Alligator mississippiensis: one gene and its partner. The protein of the gene in region 2 interacts with the protein of the main gene of each other region in a pairwise test. Links are inferred from orthologs where the notes say so. Each region holds a gene or a part of one and is shown on either strand. Other genes may lie near its edges.

What was found.
Region 1: the proteins of FOXJ2 (region 2) and EGLN3 interact in binary tests that used the Homo sapiens proteins (3 or more experiments, as listed by UniProt). The two-hybrid records come from large-scale screens. The link is inferred for Alligator mississippiensis from reciprocal best matches to the Homo sapiens genes FOXJ2 and EGLN3.

The regions. Positions count from the first base shown.
Region 1 is NC_081825.1:255,769,907-255,776,104, reverse strand, and holds the start of EGLN3 (prolyl hydroxylase EGLN3), read left to right. Parts: upstream 1-1,652; 5' UTR 1,653-1,697; coding exon 1,698-2,249; intron 2,250-6,198. UniProt on the Homo sapiens protein: Prolyl hydroxylase that mediates hydroxylation of proline residues in target proteins, such as PKM, TELO2, ATF4 and HIF1A. Target proteins are preferentially recognized via a LXXLAP motif.
Region 2 is NC_081827.1:148,063,733-148,069,930, forward strand, and holds the start of FOXJ2 (forkhead box protein J2), read left to right. Parts: upstream 1-2,437; 5' UTR 2,438-3,167; intron 3,168-6,198.

The DNA of each region.
Region 1 (6,198 bases), on a different chromosome or scaffold from region 2:
CAGTGCAAGGCTCATCACATCACAAGCATGGAGGTCTCGAGTCATTTGTTCCCTAACGTTAGTTTCCATTTCATCTATTCGCCTTTGAACAGTCCTGGATGACGATGGAATTTCATCAATACGAGCAATCATGTCCATCTTATTCGCAAAAATCCTGAAATAGATCCTCAGCACATTTTAAGAAAGAATCCTTTAAGTATTCTCCATCTGTAAAACTCTTGCCTTGCTGAGCTATATTTAGAGCTGCAATGTAACTTGCCTGTGTGGAGAAAGTATTTCTAGTTGCACAACTAGAAAAGCTGGCTGTCTGCTTTTTAAACGAATCAACGCTTTTCTAACGGATTCATGTTCGTCTGCTTCATTGACTCCAGAAGATTTGGCTTTGTGCTTGGTTGCAAAATGGCGCAGGACACTGGAAGCATGAGATACCACACTTCCGCTGTACAGACTACAAATACAATCCCCTTGCTGCACAAAACCATACAATTCTCTCCAAGCCAGATGAAACTTTTGAATATCTAACTTTGGTTTGTGTGAACTTCAGGAAATTTTACAGTTGGAAGGCACATAGATACATAACCATGGAAGGCAAAAAAAAAACCCAACAAAGGCAGCACAAACATTGTAAACAGAAAGCAGGAAAATCAGAAAGAATTGAATAATTTGAACGGTGTGTAAATCTGGGTAAGTATTTCCAAGACGACAAGCAGAGTAGCAGAAAAGCACACAAAGAAGTGAGCAATATGAAGTGTTTAAATCTAGGAATGCAAAGTAGAGAGAGCAAAATAACTGAACAGGAACTGTTTCAATAAAGTAAAAAACCTGAAAAACATGAACTGGTTTAAGAGAACGACAAACTGAATAAGAAATTACTTAAAAGAGCAACATACGCTGAATAATATGAACTGTTCTGAGTGAGCAAAAGCTGAATATGAATCGATTTAACAGAGCAAAATAAACTGATTAATGTGGAAAGGGCAACAGCTGAACATGAACTGGTTAATATGGAGAGAGCAAAAGCTGAACAGGAATCGATTTAACAGAGCAAAGTAAACTGAAGGGTACAAACTAGTTAGAGAGAGAGCAAAAGCTGAATCTGAAATAATTTTACAAACCAAAATAAACTAAATAATACCCGACCTTCAAATCTTAGCAGGAATCGCCACCAAGGGGCGTAGCCCGGAGGCACGTGCTGGCCTCATGCAGCAGCGGCGGAGGAGCAGAGCCGAGCCGAGCCGAGCCGCGCCGGTCCCTGCCCCCCGGCCGCGAGCAGCACCGCGGGCACGGCCAGGCGCGCGGCTGCACGTGCCCTCTGGGCGGAGGCGACAGGGTTGTGATGCCCCCGCCATGCCATGCCCTGCCCTGCCCCGCGGCGCGCCTGCCGTTGCCTCCAGCACGGAGCTGATGCCGGGCCCTGGGCTGCTCGGCTCGCTGCGGGTGCCCAGAGCCCGGGCGGGCTGCGATCAGCCGCGCCGACCCCGGGGGGGGGGGGGGTACAGCCACCCCAACATCTGCTTCCAGTGGAGGGCCGGGCTCCGCCCTCCCCGCGCAGCCGAGCCCCGAGGCTGAGGAGCCGGGGAGCCCGGCCCACTGCGAGCCCGGCCCCCGGAAGGGGCTGGCGCCCACGCCTCTGCGGGTTCTAGTTCGCGGGGGCCCGCCCGGGAGCAGGTTAGTGCCGGGCGGGCGCAGCCGGGCAGATGGCGGGAGGGGCGGGCGCTGCGCCGCCTCAGGGCTCTTCCCCGCCGCCCGCTCCGTGCAGACTGCGGCAGCCCGGGCCACGCGCGCCTCGGGGAGGGCGGCCGGGGCGGGGGCGGGGCCGGAGGCGGCATCGGTCCGGCGGCTCCGCGGCCGCCCGCGTGCCGGGCAAGATGGCCTCGCGTGCCCTGCTGTGGCACGCGTGCCGGGGGCTGCCCATCCCCGACCTGGAGAAGATCGCCTTGGACTACATCGTGCCCTGCCTGCACGACATCGGCTTCTGCTACCTGGACAATTTCCTGGGCGAGGTGGTGGGGGACTGCGTGCTGGAGCGCGTGAAGCAGATGCACTACAGCGGGGAGCTGCAGGATGGGCAGCTGGCCGGCCAGAGACACGGCATCGCCAGGCGGCACTTGAGGGGAGACCAGATCAAGTGGATCGGAGGCACGGAGGAAGGGTGCGAGGCCATCAACTTCCTCCTGTCCCTGATAGACAGGCTGGTGATGTATTGTGGCACCAGGCTGGGCAACTACTATGTCAAGGAGAGGTCCAAGGTAAGAGACTTGCTGTGGTTGAATTTGGGGTCGTTTCCTAAGGGCTTCATGTCTGTACGGGTTCTACCACCGAGTTGCACGTTCCTGATATCCTAACACCTGGCACCTCTCAACTCCCCAAACTGCTCCCAGGACTTGGCATCAATTTACCTTTTACTCATCTGTTTAAAAGACATAGCAGGTGACAGTGCTTACTGCAGCAAAAAAGGCTTCATTTGCCTTTGAAGCATAGTTTATGTATCTGCTGCCAGATGCAGGAGTAGAGTATGTTATTGTTTATAAACAGTTCCTGGATCCTTCGCTTAACCCAGCAGCACAGAAGTCGGGGCAAATTGAGAAGCATGTTCCAAGTTAAGCTGTAGAGAGGAATGAATGGAGATTTTTTTTAAAGTTGTAAAGTAAAGGACACTCAACAGCTGTTACTGTTCTCTTCCTCCCCAATGTCGTGTCTTTTGGGCAGTGGTGTTTAGAAGATGATCGGAAGACAGGCTCCCAGGCTGCTCATATTGTTTATAAAGAAGTGATGAGGTTAATCCTAAACTTATGCATGTGTGTACCCACAGAGACCACTTCACAGCTGAGTAAATAAACAAATGTACATAGTAATTAATTAACTAATTCCTAGTGAGAAGTGACTTGAGCCTGGATGAAGGCAGACAAGGATCTTTGGGTAAATCTGATATATTTTATTAGACCAGCTCAAATAGTTGGAAAAATTCTTCTTTGTGCTTGGGGGTCATAAGCTGAATGAATACTTTCCCCAATTTGATCCAAAGGGGAAGCTGTATTCACTTACAAGTTTATGGTGGTCATTTAAGATAAAGTCGACTAATAATGTATTTCTTCTAATACTTCCACTGGAAGGGCTGGCAAAATGCAGGTAAATGCTGACGAACTAATCATAATAGACTAAAGTACTCTGGTATGAGCTGCTTGTTTATTTTAACCCTTTGTCCGCAGCTGGCTATCACAGGTGTTTTTTAGCAGTTTGGTAAAGGTGAGTAGAAAGAGGGAGTTACCAATGTCCACTTGTGCTTGTCCACTGTTAAAACATGTTTGGTTTTGTTTGCAACATTTCATTCATATGGTAGTATTAATCCAGTGAGCTTCAGTCTCCATCCTCATGTCAACTATTTCAGAACTAAAGAATATTGTAATAGCTGTTAGCCTTGCCGTTAGAAGTATGAAAAGAAAGATACTTTGCTCTTGTTTAAGGGCATGCCAGAATTTCTTTGTGAAGAATGTGTTAAAAAGTTGCTACTTGAAATTCATTTCCCAGTCAATTTATCTGACCTTTAGTTCAGTCAGTTGGAAAATGTTGCTTTTATCCTCTGCACCTGTATGGAAATGACATTACCCTCTGTTACTAATTGTTGAAAAATTCCCCATAGTTCTTATCCGATTTTCATGGTTGGCAAACAATCTGAATTATACGTTCTCTTCTAGGTTTCCATTTATGTTTCCTCTTTCTGTGATGTAACTGTTAGAGCACTGAAAGTTGCATGATTCTTAAAATACCAGGCAAGAGCTTTGGGGCAGTTGCACTTCAAATTTTATTCTAATCTCAGTGTTTTCCTCCAGGTTTTAGGAAAGGGGATAGAGGAGGGATGGAAAGACCTTGAACAGTTAGCAGGGTATGTAAAGAGAACTTTTATGAATCCTTATTAATTGTTTCTTTTGGCATTATCTTAAACTAACCGGGGCATGTGGGAGTGGGGAATGATGATGTTTCTCAGCAGTGAGGGAGAGGGAATGAAATATTAGCTGTGGTGGGACTTAGCTGTTTCTCAGGTTTTTGGGAATATCCTGAAAAGTTGGCAAATACTAGTCAAGAGACCAGCCCTGTTAGTCTCAAATCAAGTAGAAGTCAATAGTTGTTGAATCATTAACCCTATATTGAGCGAATCATTCCTTTAAGCTGAAGAGCTGGATGGATTTGGGACACAGTGCGTGAGCCATCTTGTAGTGTCAGTTATTGTACATATTCCCAAGTGCCTGCCTCGCTAGTATGGGTAGGTATGGTGGTACCTTGTTGGCCACTAGGAGGAAGAAAAAGGGGATTTGCACTAAAGCAAGAGACAGACACCCACAGGGGAGATTGTCATCACATTCACCTAACTGCATACAAGGAGAACACCTACATTAGATGTAGCTTGTTGCATTGATCTGGAACAGACTTCTGGGACTTACCTTGGGCTGTGGAAGGTTGGGGGGGGGTTAAACCAAACTGTGGTATTCCTACAGCCTTCAATGTTTGAGAGTTATACTTGTTGTTATAATAACACATGTTAACAATAATAGCTGACTCTAGATTTTTCTTCATCTAGTAAAATTATCACATTTTACAAGTGGCTATGGAAATATTGCTATGAACAGATTTCTGTAGCTGTGTAGTGGTAACTGAACACTTGTGTGTGGAAGGTGACAGACTTCAAAGTAGCAGTGCAAAGAAAAGCTACACACTAGTATGGGGACTAAAAGGAAAGAGTATGGTATTTGAATTAAAATACACAGAGAATTTCTATTGGAAACTACCAAGAGCTAGCACCCTTATTATGGAAAAAATATCCCATTGAATTTTTGGTGATTACAGGTAGCTATTTTACATATCTATTGCAAGATGAAACCTAGAGCAAAACAGTGCCCCCTAGTATTATAGAAAGTTAGTGACCAACAGGGAAGACTCCCTCCAGCTTTGAATAAACTTTGTGTATAACTCAGCTTCCTATCCTGTATAGGTGTTTCTTGGAAGTTTCCTATCCAAGCACTAAGCTGGTCCATCTGGTCAGGACATCTGGTAACCTAATAAATAACAAGTGTAATTCCTTTAAAGTAAATAAGGTTTGACTTATTTGCTAGATTTTATCCTCATTTCAAATATGTGTAATTTTTTGGAGGTAGTAAAACTTTTAATAACTTAGTTTGAGTTTTTTTATCATTAGATTCAAGAGCTTTTCAGTTTGATACGCATTGTTCTAACTGTCTTGGTGATTACTTGATTTTTTATTTTTTTTTGTCAGATAATGGGGACAGAGAGGTGGGGGCTAATAACAATCAAGAACAGTTTGTTTATTTAAGATGTAAACTTTTGACTACCTGAGGAAGTATTCTGGCCATGGAAGTCACATCTGAGTAACATTGACTGATTTACTTGGCTGAGGTCTACTCTTTAAAATGACACATTGCTAAATTTATAGCATGTTCAGTTAAACATTAGCCTGGAATATTGGCAGAGAAAGGATTTGCTTAGTGTCTTAACTTTCCTGGTTCTATGAGCTGCCATTTGGTCAGTGTAATATGTATAACTATGGATTCCATAAAGGGCATAACAAGAATGACTCTTGTATAATACTGGTAACTTTTCCCTTGTATTTCTGGGGGGGATCAGAGTGGTATGGGGGGGGGGGGGGGCATGGGGATGCTTAAGTAATGGCACAACTGCCAAAAAGTTTCCCCACTACTTGTTAAAAGAAGAGGGTAACCATGACCCTTGCCCATTTCTTTGAAAGAAAGGGTTGTAGGTACCTACCTTCCAGAGAGGGCTGGGATTAAGACATATCTTTGTCCCCAGTGTTTTGTGTTGCCTGGTTCTAGGCAGCTTCCTGCTTTGAATGGGATCTGAAACAGCCAGCACCTGATTCTCCTCCATGCATTGTATAGGGAGCATATGTGGCCCCATAGGCCACATCTCCACAAGCAGTGGCATGTGGTTGCTGCAGGGAAAAAAAACAGTGGCACAAATTCATGCTGCTGCTTTTTGCCCCGGTGCACACCCCTGCATGCGGGGTTAGCGAAGGGGAACATGCTCCTGGTGGAGTAGAGGAAGCTGGGGCCAGCACCTGGGCTGGCCCCAGCAGCATTATCTGTGGTCCTCCTGAGGCTCCAGTGGTGGCGGTGTGCGTATGTTTTGGGCGGCACATGCTGCTTCCATGTACTCCACCCCACTTTA
Region 2 (6,198 bases):
CTGGGGATAGAATGGAGTGGGAGCACACAGAGTCCTGTCACAGGGTGCAGAGACTGGGAGCCCTGGTATAGGGTGAGGAATAGGGCCACTGGAGTCTTGGAGAGGTGGGGAAGAGGGAGAAAGGAGGGAAGCAGGGAAGGTGAATGGCTGGTGCGGGGGAAAGCAGGAATAGGACAGACAGAACCACTGGGTGTGACATACCGGATGGGAAATGAAGAAAATTATTCAATAAATGGCCCACAGACCCTGAGAGAGATCCCCACCTCCCCTATAATGACAGTATTCACTTTTAATTACCATTAGCCTTCCTTCTGAATTTACCTGAAAGCTGCCATAAGATTGCCAATGTGCACCTACGTGTTGCCCAGCCGCATGCCAGCCTGAAACTCCCACATGGGATGGGAGAGATTTATACAAACGGAGAGCACTTGCAGGGACAGCACGGCAGGGTGTGGGAGACTATGGCACAGATATGCATGGGGGAATTAGCTGGCAGCGCCAAGGATGAGAACACCACAGTGAAAAGGTGCTTATGCCATGATCAAAGAGAGATTTCTTTGGGTTTTGCACCACCAGGGTAAGGGTGAGAGATTGTGGCAGAGGTTTGTCAGAGAATATTATCAGATGGTTTGGAGAGGGGTTGGGGGGATGATTATACAGTGAGAAGCTGCCACACAACCCTCCACCAGGTGGAGGGGAACCAAAGGGGTGCAGTTATCACCTAAAGCTACCAGCAGGCATGAGGGGAAACATGTTTCAGGCATTGTACCTGGCAGTCATACAAGAGGATTGTTTTAAAGATTAAAAATAGGTTGAAGTCAAGGTAGCTGTGTACCTTATAGACTGACTGAGTCAAAGATACATATGTTTTTGTAAGCCCGGTTTAGCTCACGAGACCTTTCTTGCTTTGGGCAGGGACTTGGACTAGATGACCTCCTGAGGTCCCTTCCAGCCCTGCTTCTCTAGGACAGGGGTTTCCAACCCCCAGGCCGCAAAGGGTTGGCATCCAGTCCACAGGAGGGTTGTCTGCTGAACTGGAAGTCTGGAAGTGACCGGTATACTGTGGACCGGCAGCCAACCCTTTTTTATACTGAGAATTAAAAAGGGTTAGCTGCTGGCCTGCAGCATGCCGGTCACTGCTGGTCCACTTTTTGCCGGTCCACACCCACATCCAGTCCAGTTTGCTGATCCACAGCATAAAAAGGTTGGGAACCCCTGCTCTAGGATTTCTGTTCAATTTTGTTAACAGAGTCAAGGACTGTATTAAAATGGGGCTGAGTGAAACGTACTGGTACTACCGAAGACAGACGAGAAGGATGAGAAAGAAATGGCAGACCTCACATGGTGGAGAGGGGTCTGGCATCAACTTTTTCAGGGGGGGCCCTCTGAGGAGCGCAGTGGCTGGGGGTATGGAGATGGGTGTGCGGTGCAAACTGTGTAATGGGGTTTTTTTACATCAAGAACTTGGTAAACCGCTGCTCACTGGGGCACCCCTGGGGAAGACCAGGAGCAATGGATACAAACTCCTGGAAGGCTGCTTCAGGCTCAATTCCAGGAAAAACTCCTTCACAGTCAGTGGAATAAACTCCGGTGGTGGTGCAGTCGCCTACCCTGGAAATCATCAGGAGAAGACTGGACAGTCACCTTGCTGGGGTCACTTGACCCGTTGTCTTTTCCTGCCTAGTGCAGGGGGGCTGGACCCGATGTTCTACAAGGTCCCTTCCAGCCCCTAACAACTATGAATGGTTTAACTGTTGGAGTGTGCTTTGATCTGCGTGCCAAGATCATAGATCTTTAACAGACCAAATCATGCCAAGTGAACTGCAGGGGCTGCATGGCACAGTGTTGGAGGTGCAGTTTTATATATACATATATATATATACATATATACACACACACACACACACACACACACACACACACACACACACATATTTTTGCGCACACAAAAAAAACAGTAAAAAATTCATCAGTCTATAAGGTGCACCTCCACCCAGCCTTCTGCCCGGCTTCAGCCTCAGGGGGCTCACTTTGTCTCTAAGAAGGGGCCAGACGGGTCGTCCGCGCGTGGCCCACAGGATGCAGGGGCCGCGCGGGTTTCCTCCTGGGGCTCCAGCTGGGAGAAGGGCGTCTGGAAGAGCTTGTCCGAGCAGGGTCAGGGGGATGACGCCCGCGTCCCCTCCCTGCGCTTCACCCCGGGGCCCTGCTGTGTCCGGGCTGGTCTGCACTCCGCGGGGGGGGGAATGACACTGAGGGGTTTGGGCCGGGGACGCATCCCTTGGAGGAGGCTGTGGGGCGAGCTAAAGCCCACGCACGAGCCTCGCACCGTGGCCGCGCTGCCGGTGGGGGGGCCGAAGCGCCTCCTTAAGGCGGGGGCGGCGGGGGGCGGAGCGGGCCGGGGCGGAGCCGGGGCCTGCAGTGGAGCCGCAGCCCGGAGCCGCCGGCGGTAGCAGTGGCGGGGCCTGCACGGATCAGCGCCGCCCGCGCCCCCGGCCCAGCCCGCGGCCCGACAGGCGGCGGCGGAGGCGGCCCCAGGCCCTCCCTCGCGCCCGCCTCCCTGCTCCTCGCCCTCCTCCCGCCGCCAGCCGGGCCTGGGCCCGGGCCCGAGCCCGAGCCCGAGCCCGAGCCCCCGGCCGGGTAGTGGGGATCGGCCCCCGCCCCGGGGCCGCGGTGCTGCCCCGCCATTATTTACTTGACAGCTGCCTCGGCCCCCCCTGCCGCGGCCGGAGGAGGTAAGGGGGCAACCCCTGCCCACGCCTGCCCTGGCGCGGGGAGCCGGGCGGCCCCGGCCTAGCCTCGATTTTTCTTCTCTCCCCCTCAAGAGAGGCTTGTCCAAGGGGAAAGGAAAGCGCGAGAAGAGGCCATCTCCTGGGAGCGCCACCCCTGAAATAGCTGGTGGCTAAAAGGGGAGACGGGAGAGGAGGCTCCTTTGCGTCCTAGGATAATGCCAGGGACTTGAGGGGGGGCTGGCGACCCTTTTTTGCCCCTCAGGGTTTCTGGTTTCATCCGCCGCCCCTCCAGCCTCCCTGCGTGTCTGGAGGAAGAGTGTGGGATAGCTGGTGGCGGCGCCCCTGGGATGGGGCCCAGCAGAGGAGCGTGAAGGGCTGCCCCCCAAAAAGCCAGCGCTGGACACCAGCCCCCTCCCTGCAGACAATCTTCCAGACAGAGTGAGTGACCACATGACATCACCTTTCGCTCCCCCCTGCCTCTTCTTCCCTTTCCCCTTCTCCTGTCTCTTGCCCTTTTTCCTCCTCATGGCCTTCCCATGTCTTTTCTGTCTGGCCTTCTTGGTATTTTTTCCTTTTCTCCATCTTCTCTGTCTCCTTGTTTCTGAACCCTGCTTCCCCTCCCCTCCCCATTTCTCTTTCTCCATATGCCTTTTCCAGCTCTGTCACTAATCGTCATCTTGTATTTGTTATAAAGAGTTGTGCTGATTTCTCTTTCCAAGCGAATTGCTTCTGGGGCACCATAGTGCCCCCCCCAAATTGCAACAAGCCTTCTGTCTTTTTCCCCTTCCACTTTCTCAGAAGGCTGTATTGACTTTCTCCTGCGCTCACCTTTCATCATTACTCACATTAAATGAATTTCTATCATCCAGAGGTCAATGGGGAAGATCACATTGACTGAACAAGCTTTGGAGAGGCAGGGTGAATGCTAGTGCCTATGCCCTGAGCTGTGTGTCATGCTGCACTCATGGGGTTGTGGGTGTGAATCTTGGCCTCATTGCCTGGGGTGTGGATTGTGCTGTGCTTGGGTGGCTGGGGGTGCACATGAATCCTGGTGCTAGAGCCCTAGGACGCTGAGGAGCTGAGCTTGCAAATCTCAGAGCTACTAGTACTTTGGGACGTGGAGCCCTCTGCACTTGGGGGCTAAGGGTTTGAGTGGTGGTCTTGCCTGTGGGTCCTATTGGGCATGGGGTCTAAGACGGGGAATCCTAGTAGTGTGGGTGGAAGCCTTTTTGAAAGCTCAGGGGATCTGTTCCATCACTATTATCAATCCTATGTTGCTCCCTCTGGGTGAAGAGTCATGGGGAGCAGACCTTCAGTGCATGGGACAGTTAAATGCCACACCAAGTGAGCTCTGACACCAGGACAGCCCAGCCGTCCTCCCCCCACCTCCCAGTAAGCATAGTTGCCCTGGGTCATTCATTGGGAAATCTGGTCAAAGGGAGACTTCACCAGGGAGGAAGTGAATGTAGGTCCTGTGAGCAGATGCTCCGCCCCAAATACTTTGTCGCTCACCTGAGAGCTCTCTTTCTGTATTCAACACTAGTGCAGACTTCATTATGGCATGTCACTCCCCTGAGACAATTCTGAGGAAATCCAAGACCGGAGTATCCCTAGCCCTGACAAATACTGGCTCAGTATCCAGAAAGGGACTGCATAGTGAAAGGGAAATTCCAGAATGAGGATCAAGGGGGATTTCTTGGTGTGGCTGGGCAGGAAACTCAGGCCGTGGAATACCAGGTGCCCCCAAGGTGACAGCCCCTTCTGCCATGGCATTTTGCCCTCCCTCTTCTCCGTAGCATGGCACAGTGGTTTGTCCAGAGAGAGCCTGAACCCATAACGCATGTTTTCTAGATGTGCTGTCAGATGCCCTCCCACCTGTTGCCCTCTGGTTATGCAATCGGACTGTTTTGAGTAGAGGCATGTTATCTAGTGCTAGGAAGGAGATAACTGAGGCATTTTGGCCTTTGCACATTCAAGGGGGTTTGCTAGCTTTTCCTGCTCTCGGGGTTAATTTACCTTCCTCTGCCTTCACTCTCACAATAATGACTTGACATTTTTCTAGTGTCTTTGGTTCTGATGGATGCCAAAGCACTTGCAGAATGCATATACCACCCTTGCAGAAGTCTGCTCCCCCCCCCCCCAGCACATATATTTTTTTATGGGTGTATAACATTATTGTAATTTAATATTTTTCTCAGTTGTCATAATGAAAGACCAGAGTTTAAATTTTTGTGCCTGGGCTTTAAATATTCATGACAAAGATGCAAAGCTGATTGTGGTGCGTTGTGTGTGTGTAATTGTTTGTTGTTTGTACAGTAATCACTAAAGGAGTGTATTCAGTGCTATTTCAAGCACAAAAATTAAAGCAATCTCTGCCCTAAAGAGCTTGCAATTTGAAAGACAGACTAGCAGAAGCCAGGAGATGCTGGTAAACTGAGAAGAGGGGATAACCTTAGAGGTGCATGGTGCACATGAATTGTTACTTGGGTCTGAAATGCAGCTGCCTCTGAGGTGGAATGCTGCAGCCATCCTGCCCCAGCGATGGGATATAAAGGTGCTAATAGAAGGGAAAGGGAAGAAGGTTATGTATTTCCATAAATATGAAAGTCTTCACAGGCAAATTTAAATCTTTGCCTATAGGAGTTTTGGCTAAGACTTTCCTAAAATATAGATTTTGAATCCTTATTCAGACACTTAAATTGGTGACCCTGATTCTCCAAAGAACTCTGCAGCTCTTGATTGACTTTGGGGAGAGCTGGGTGATGCTCACCATTTTGAAAATGAGGCCATTTATTTAATTGCCCAAATATTGATTTAGAAGTTTAAATTCAGGCACTCAGGATAGCAAATCTTGGCTTTGCAGTATAAGCAATCCAATCTCTTTGAATGCCCTCAACTCCTGAGGAAGTCAGTGGGGGTCTGAGGATACACAGCACTCTTCTGGGTCAGGCCCTAAATAAGATTAAATGAGAGGGTCTGGAGAGGAGTAGAAGGAGGATTATGCTGTTGTGGTTCTGTGGTAGAACTTTTTGCCTGCTTTGTGGAAGACCTGGGTTCAATTCCCTGCTGTGTATAAACCTGCTGTTTTGGTTCAGTGGTAGAATTCATGCCTGCCTTCCTGGACACGTATATATTTCCTGCCTCAGGCAGGGGGTTGGGCTAGATGACCTCTGGAGGTCCCTTCCAGCCTTGTGACTATATGACATTCTATGACATAACAATGAAAGATCACGTGATGACATTCATGTTAAGTACATGTCTTGGTTCTTGTTCGAGTTTTGTTTTCAAATCCATGGGCCTATGGACAGCATCTGGGATCTGGGTAAGGGGTCGGGCAAATCCGTATGTGGCTGAAATGGCACGGATTGTTTAAGGAGGCTGAATGGTATTACCTGTTCTGGGATTTGGCTACATCTCCCAATCCTTGCAAAAATTATTGATGCTTCTGCTCAAAGTGTATAACTTCTTT